Oryzias latipes: one gene and its partner. The protein of the gene in region 1 interacts with the protein of each later gene in a biochemical or structural test. Links are inferred from orthologs where the notes say so. Each region holds a gene or a part of one and is shown in the gene's direction. Other genes may lie near its edges.

Region 1 (3,752 bases):
TCATGTAGATGCAATCCTGCAGGAATTAAAAGAACACGGCAGCAGCTAAAAATGAAGTATAAAAACATAATTCAATCAGGTCAAATTTGAGCATGTCATGGATGTAGGCTTTGTTGACAATATTTGACATATGAAACATCTACATAGCAATATCTAATGTTGTTTTCATTGTATATATGTAATTGACTGCAATGAAAAACGGTAACGCTCAAACAAAAACGTATGGGGAAATGACAAAAAATCGAGTCTAGGTCTCAAAATCCTCGTACGAGGTAAATGTAATTCTCTACGAATTAATGCAGCCTCCTCGTCTATTGGGTCCTCCAAAAAAGGACAAGCCATTCTTGTCACTTGTCTCTGTGTGACGGACATTTGGGCAATGAAGGTTAAAGCGAAAAATATCGCTTCGTCTTTAAAAAGGGGAGGGGACCGGCAGAAACCTTGAGTTTAGAGAATAAAACCTGCTCCCCACCAGGTTAGGTTCACAGCGTAAGTAACCATGGACACTGACTCAGAGTATAAGTTACCTCTCTTTCAGAAACGGGTTTGACTTACTCTGCTTTCTCTGGTTTAACAAACCTCCCATTCTGAAACAGAAAACCCAGGGTTTCCCTGATTTCAGGGTTAACGCACTCAGAGTTTACACTTAACCTCCTTTCTGAAACAGGCCCCAGGTGGCACATTATCTATAATGTTTTCTTTAACCTATTGTGTCCTTTCTAATAGTTTTAGAAAGAAAACTCAATGTTATTTATTTAAAAAATAAACACATTTTCTTGCTAAGTTATAAGAATAAAATCATTTTAAAAAATTGAGAGTTTTTGAGAAAAAGCAAAGTCCAGAGTATGGCCAGAAGAGCAGCTGGATGACTACATTGGCTGCATGTAGGCCTGGTGCATGAGAAACCCGGGTTTGATTCCCATGGGGTGCAATGAGCTTCATCCAGTGTTAGGCTCCTGCCTAACTATGTAGCCAGAAAGTGTCGGTCCCGGCCTAAAGTAAATACAGGATTGTGTCAGGAAGGCCATTCAGTGTACATATCTCTGCCAAACCGACTGCAGATCAGTGAAAGCTGAAGGGATATGGTGAACAGCAACAACAGAGGATGAAGACGAGTGTAACAACGAGAGACAGCTTTCCAGGGAAACGATTAAGACTAAAACGACGGTGAAGATAAAAATGTTTAATACAAAACAAAAAGGAAGTAAAATTCTTTAAAAACTATTAAAAGCGGAAAAAATTAAAATTTAAAAAGAAAGGTTTTAAAAGGAAAAAAAGAAAGATTGAAATATGGAAGTCAACAAAGGGACGGTTTCAGAAACGAAAAAAGCTGCAAGCACTAAATCTAAAAACCAACGAACGAGAAAGGAAAAAAACTTTAGTGGGGAGACAGGAAGACTGATCCAGAATGTGTTTTCGTTCAGGCACGCAGACAGGAGACCTGTATGACGTCAGCGCGTCCAGCTACGTTCCCGCTCGTTGATTAGCTGTTTTGAACAGCGTCGAGCGCGCTGATTGGTGCGTTTTGAAGCCGAGTCCTGCGCTCAATTTTAAAGAGTGTCAGCTTTGTATCCGCAGCGTGAGCAGCGACAGCACGGAGGTAAGAAGCGGCAACCGTTAACGGCTTCAACCGGTAGATCACGACATGAAATGGTACCGCTTTGATATGAGGAGAGGCGCGTTGGCGGACGGACACGCGCCTTCCGGTAACGGCTCGGTTCGGTTTTCCCCCAACCTGGTTTTCAGATTTGGAGAGGCCTCAGCTGGCCGGTGAAAGTCGGTGGGGTTGGTTCGATTCCTACTGTTTTTATTCTGTCTCTGTAACGTCGAGCTGCTCGTTTTACGGTTTTCAGGCCTGAACGTTCAGCGGTTCTCAACGGAGGATCTGACCGTTTGGAGTCTGAACATCTGCAGAAGTCCGAGCTGAGAGGATTTGTCTTCTCTTTCAGGGACAGATGGAGGACTACGTGAAAATAGAGAAAATCGGAGAAGGTTGGTGGAGTAAAAATGTTTTTGTTTTTCTAAAATGTTGTCCAGATTTTTTTGGGGGGTGAAACCCACCAAAGAGGCCCACCTGGATGCTGAACTTGGAAGTCCTTGAAAGTTCCTCCACCCGTATATGGAGATGTCCCAGGATGACGTCTCAAGCTTTGCTTTGGTTCAGATCCTGGCTCTTCATTCTGATCATGGTCCCCTGCACCACAATCTGAGTGATGGGGTGACTGCAGTGGTTCTGGGACGTCTGAGTCCTCATCCCCTGACTCTGCTCTGGTGTCTGCAGGGACATACGGGGTGGTGTACAAAGGCCGGCACAAGTCCACGGGACAGGTGGTGGCCATGAAGAAGATCCGCCTGGAGAGTGAGGAGGAGGGAGTTCCCAGCACCGCTGTCAGGGAGGTGTCGCTGCTTCAGGAGCTGAAGCACCCCAACGTCGTCCGGTATGCTGCACGTGTGCGCTGAACAGGTTCCTGACATTAATGTCCATGCGCTGCAGGTAAAATGCAGTGAGGTGATGTCCGGGTCAAAGGTGCTGGGTTTTAGTCCCTCTTGTCTCATCTGAACGTTTGGGGATAATCCAGATGTTTGTTCTTGTTCAGCACTTCTTTCTCCTTGAACTCTCCTGTGGATCCATGATTGTTCAGAAGTCCCTTTCTGACTGTTGGATCATGAACTCTGACCTGAACACGTGCACACGTGTAATGGGAGGCCTCCACTTGCTTCCATGTTCTTTCCAGAGGGGTCCTGCTTGGGTTTTTAACTCTTTAGTCCTTCTGTAGGGATGTTCAGAGTAGCGTTAATGCCGAATCCCTCAACTCCCTCCGCTGATCTTGGAGGTGCAATAATGGTTCCACCTTTGTGTTCACCTGAAAGGCTCTTGGATGTCCTGATGCAGGAATCTCGCCTCTACCTGATCTTTGAGTTCCTGTCCATGGACCTGAAGAAGTACCTGGATAGCATCCCGTCAGGACAGTACATGGACCCCATGCTGGTCAAGGTAAAACACTCAGCGCTTCGTTTTTAGATTTCCTACTCTTTGTTGTGACAAACGCTTTCTATTAAGCTGAACATCCCGGTTTCAGCTGGGGGAGGGGGGTCTCTGAATGATAACACACCAGGTTCCTCACTAACCACGGACTGCAGCTCCAAACATCACAGATCTTCATCAGTTCTTCTGAGGCAGCCATGATGCTTTGTGCTGCTTGTCTGTGAGGATGTTCTGGTGTGGAACTAGCAGTCTACCACTTTGAGCCTGTTCCCTTTTCTGCCCCCCCCTACAGAGCTACCTCTATCAGATCCTTGAGGGCATTTACTTCTGTCACCGAAGGCGGGTCCTCCACCGCGACCTGAAGCCCCAGAACCTTCTGATTGATAACAAGGGCGTCATCAAACTGGCAGACTTTGGCTTGGCCCGGGCCTTCGGTGTTCCCGTCCGGGTCTACACCCACGAGGTGGGAACCGCTCCGCTGCAGAACCCAACGCTGAGGTCTGCTCAGCTGATCCAAGCTTCTCGTTCTCAGGTTGTGACTCTGTGGTATCGAGCTCCTGAGGTCCTTCTGGGTTCCCCCCGATATTCAACCCCAGTGGACGTGTGGAGCACGGGTACCATCTTTGCTGAACTCGCCACCAAGAAGCCCCTGTTCCACGGAGACTCCGAGATCGACCAGCTCTTCAGGATCTTTAGGTACCGTGTGGGAGAACTATTCAGCTTCTTTCAGCGCACACACACACACACACTGATTCTACAAGGAGAA
Region 2 (3,752 bases), on another chromosome or scaffold:
AACATATATAAAGAAATACTAATCATAAAATTGAATTTCTAAATAAAGAAATACTCAAAAAATGCAGTTTTACAATAATTTTCTTCACATATGTCCTCCATCAAAGGAAAAATGTCACTAGAACATGTTAAAAACACCAAAAACATGATTTTTATCAGAGTGGATCTTTAAAATAGCCCTTTTCGCCCCTGAATTAAACATGACAAAGTTTACTTTTATTAAAATTTATCAACAGGTCTGTCCTACGTTATAACTGCTATATCAGTTCTTGCTGTTTCTTTGCCAATACTAAAAATGTGTTTACTACAGCAGGGGCTTTTGGTTGTAGTGGTGACACTGAGGGGTGGGTCCAAGCCTAAAGTTAAGAATGGATGGACTCCACCTTCTGGCCTGTTTACATGGACACATGTGCTGCTTCACTGACAGCCCTCTTTCGTACTAAGCGATGAAAGCCCTCCCCTACGAGAGGCGCTTTCCACTCCCAGCCATCTGTAGTCGGTGTCTGGAGGACGGTGGAGGTTTTTTTTCTCCACCCTGGCTGCCTTCTCCCGCCTCCTCCCTAGTGTTTACCAACCCATCCGCCACAAAAAGGAGTGGCCAGCGGCCACGGAGGCAAGACTCAAATCGACAGTCCTCCTTTTTCCCCACCTCCAGGTTTTAATTCAAGACACAAATCTAAGCACGATTTCTAAGTTTAAACATAAGACCTTCTTCGGAATTATACAAAGAAATCCGTGCGTATATATGTCAACATTTTAGAAACGCGGAAAACATAACCAATGTCAATTAGACTAAGGAGCGCAGCCTAACGTGGATGAACCCGCCCTATATCACCCACCTTTTCTCAAATTCCATTGGTTGGCTGACGGTAAGAGGCAGAGACATACGGTTTGATTGGTAGATTGAAGTAATCTTTCACAAGGCGCTTTTCTAGGGGGTGCGCTTGTTTTCTACGTTAATGGAATGACAGTAACACTAGATAATCAATTTATACATTTTTTAAATAAAATTTTGATTTAAAATAGTCTCACTTAGTAACTTTTCTAAACATTTTTTTTCTTGCAGGAAAAATAAACCTAGCTACAGTAAATTGTCTTATATTTTACATGTTAATGGATGCAACTATAAATTACCTTTACTCGTTTAACTTTTAAGAAAATCTCGGTTTAAGGGGCTCTATTTTCAATGTGTATTTAGTTTTTAAAACAAATATATTAATATAGTTAAAACGCACCTACTTTTAAAAATGTGTTCTCTTTCTATGACTACATAGAACAAAGATGGCGGGCTACAAAGGTACCTAAATTAAACGCACCTCTGTGCTTTCCTTCAAAGGGAAGGGGCTATCAAGTTTGTGTGAAGTTGTGAAAAGTTGTTAAGCAGAAAAAGAGCACAGAAACTCCTCCCGTCTTCAAATATGAGCAGTAAGTGAAGTTTTAAAACTCAGTGGTATGTTATGTATCTTTAGCTTGACAGAGTTTTTATTGTAGTAAGAACATTTTTTAAAACAAATAAGCAGCGGTAAACGCACAGTATTATATATCGAGTTGCCATAAACATGCAGTCAAAAAGTGGCCAGCAAACCTAACGACGTTAACGCTACTTGTTGGAACTTGGCTAACAACATTTAGCGAAACGGCAAAAAGTTGTTCGTAAGTGACACTAAAATCTGTGTACTTTCAGGACCAATCTGTATTCTTAGCCCATGTAGTCCGTTACATTTTAGAGATTAACTGAAGTCTCAAAGAGATTCAAGAGCGATTTCTTAGAACATCACTTGCCATTAGTTGATGTTAGCTTAGCTATTGAGCTAGCTTGCCCCGTGAGTACTTTGCCATTTATACATTTGCTTTTCTTGGAAAAGCCGCTACAAAAAGACAAAACAGACTTAGAGTTTTATATATATAAGACGTTTTATTTTTGTCCCGTCTGAGGTTTAAACTTGTGTTAAAGAGTCGCATTGTCTGAAACTCGTGTTTTGCTGTTTGTTGAAGTTGGGAATCTTGCAACTCTTCTTCCGCAGATCAGCAACAAGGTGAAATGGCCGCAGTGGAGAGTGGCGGAGGATTCTCTCAGAAGCGGAACACTAACTCACAAGTAGGTTTATCCTTCACTCGGACTGTTGATTTTAGTCAGTCTTGGCCTGGTTTGTTTTCGCTACTTGTTGAATTAGCTCGAAGGCGTTATTCGGGACCGGTTGTTTATTTCTCCCCAGAGCACATGTCACCGGGGTGGGGACTGGGCAGGTAAAAATCTCCCAGACTGGGTGTTCCCGTCAACCCCCGGCACTACAAGTGCGTTTTGTTCGGCCCATTTGGCATGCCTTTGAGGGGGTGGCCAGTGTGGTGCGCTGGTTTATAGGGCAACATAAAGTGTGGGAGGGAGAGGGGTGGGCTTGGGAGGAGGGGGAAGCCGAGCCCGCCACTACTCCTCTCAACTGTGGTCCCTCCCATACCCCACCTCAACCCCCACCTCCATCTGAAGCCCACTCCCTAAATCCTGCCATGAACACAGAGCAAATCCACCTATTTAATTCAATAATCCATATTTACATTGGTGTTTGTTTAGCATAAAATATGTTTACATCGTTTTCTTTTGTTAGACCTAAAGTCCTGTCAAGATTATTTTTTTTAACATATTATACAATCATTTGAAATCCCTACTGAAATATTTTTGACCTTTTTTTTTTGGTTTGCCATTGTGAATTTTTCAAGATTACACAAGAGCTGTAAATATCACACTTTTTTAATAGCAATCATTTAAATCAGTGGCCCCTGACCCCAGGACGCAGACCGGTACCAGTCCGTGGGATAGTTGGTACCGGCACATAGAGAAAGAAACTATGACCTACATTTTTGTTTTTGTTTTATTTATAATCTGATTTTGAAAGAAACTGTATTTATTCCGTGTAAAATTGTCAACACTTCCATAGCTCCATGCTGTTTTGCACATCTGACATGTTTAAATCTGTACATATCACTCTGCACATAATTGCATACATTTTTATTTTTGCACATTTCTTATTTTGCATATTTGCACACATTCTTGGTACACTCTGTGCATATTGACATTTTTACATTATACTTTGTTAGATTTGTTTTTTGCACTGTAATCGTGACTGCTGTAATTTCATTGTCCAAATGGACAATGACAATAAAGGCATATCTTATCCTATCTTTAAAAACAGAATTCTCCTCAACTGATCCGACTCGTTTTTGACGCATGTCAAGTCACTCTGTTACTTGTCGACAAACCATCTATTACTTTCTTAAACCAGTAGCATAGACCGCTAAGTTGAAACCCCCAAGACAGCAAAGTTAACAACAACAAAAAATGTATTTAAAAGATGTTTTTTTGTCTTTTTTTGGCAGAAAAAAAGACCCAGTGACTTCAGAGAAAAAGAAAGTTGTATTTAACAGACAAAAACCAGTAGTCTGTACTCAAAATACGGATTTATCTACAGTAGTTCCCAAACACCATGATAATAATCTTTTTTTTCATCTTTTAATACGTGTTTAAGTAATGTTATTTTATTTTTTAATCTGTTGCACTTTAAAAGTTGGACAAGACTGAAGTTGGTGCCAATTTTTTAGCTTCCACTTTAACATTTATGAGTTTAGGGGAAATTTGTCACATTTGAATGATTCTAGTTTACAAATAAAATTTCAATCCTCTGCAGATATTTTACAGAGAATGAAAATAAACTTTACAATCAAAAGTTAAGGGAAACTGAAAACTTAAAAAAATGTGGA

The links. The genes of interacting proteins can lie anywhere in the genome.
Region 2: of the proteins of cdk1 (region 1) and sp1, one has a biochemical effect on the other in vitro, tested with the Homo sapiens proteins (2 studies listed by BioGRID). The link is inferred for Oryzias latipes from reciprocal best matches to the Homo sapiens genes CDK1 and SP1.

What each region holds. Positions count from the first base shown.
Region 1 is NC_019873.2:1,586,253-1,590,004, forward strand, and holds the start of cdk1 (cyclin-dependent kinase 1), read left to right. Parts: upstream 1-1,592; 5' UTR 1,593-1,600; intron 1,601-1,640; exon of another isoform or gene 1,641-1,785; intron 1,786-1,949; 5' UTR 1,950-1,955; coding exon 1,956-1,992; intron 1,993-2,281; coding exon 2,282-2,438; intron 2,439-2,871; coding exon 2,872-2,995; intron 2,996-3,278; coding exon 3,279-3,449; intron 3,450-3,518; coding exon 3,519-3,682; intron 3,683-3,752. UniProt on the Homo sapiens protein: Plays a key role in the control of the eukaryotic cell cycle by modulating the centrosome cycle as well as mitotic onset; promotes G2-M transition via association with multiple interphase cyclins.
Region 2 is NC_019863.2:10,447,835-10,451,586, reverse strand, and holds the start of sp1 (transcription factor Sp1), read left to right. Parts: upstream 1-1,320; 5' UTR 1,321-1,417; coding exon 1,418-1,424; intron 1,425-2,023; coding exon 2,024-2,097; intron 2,098-3,752. UniProt on the Homo sapiens protein: Transcription factor that can activate or repress transcription in response to physiological and pathological stimuli.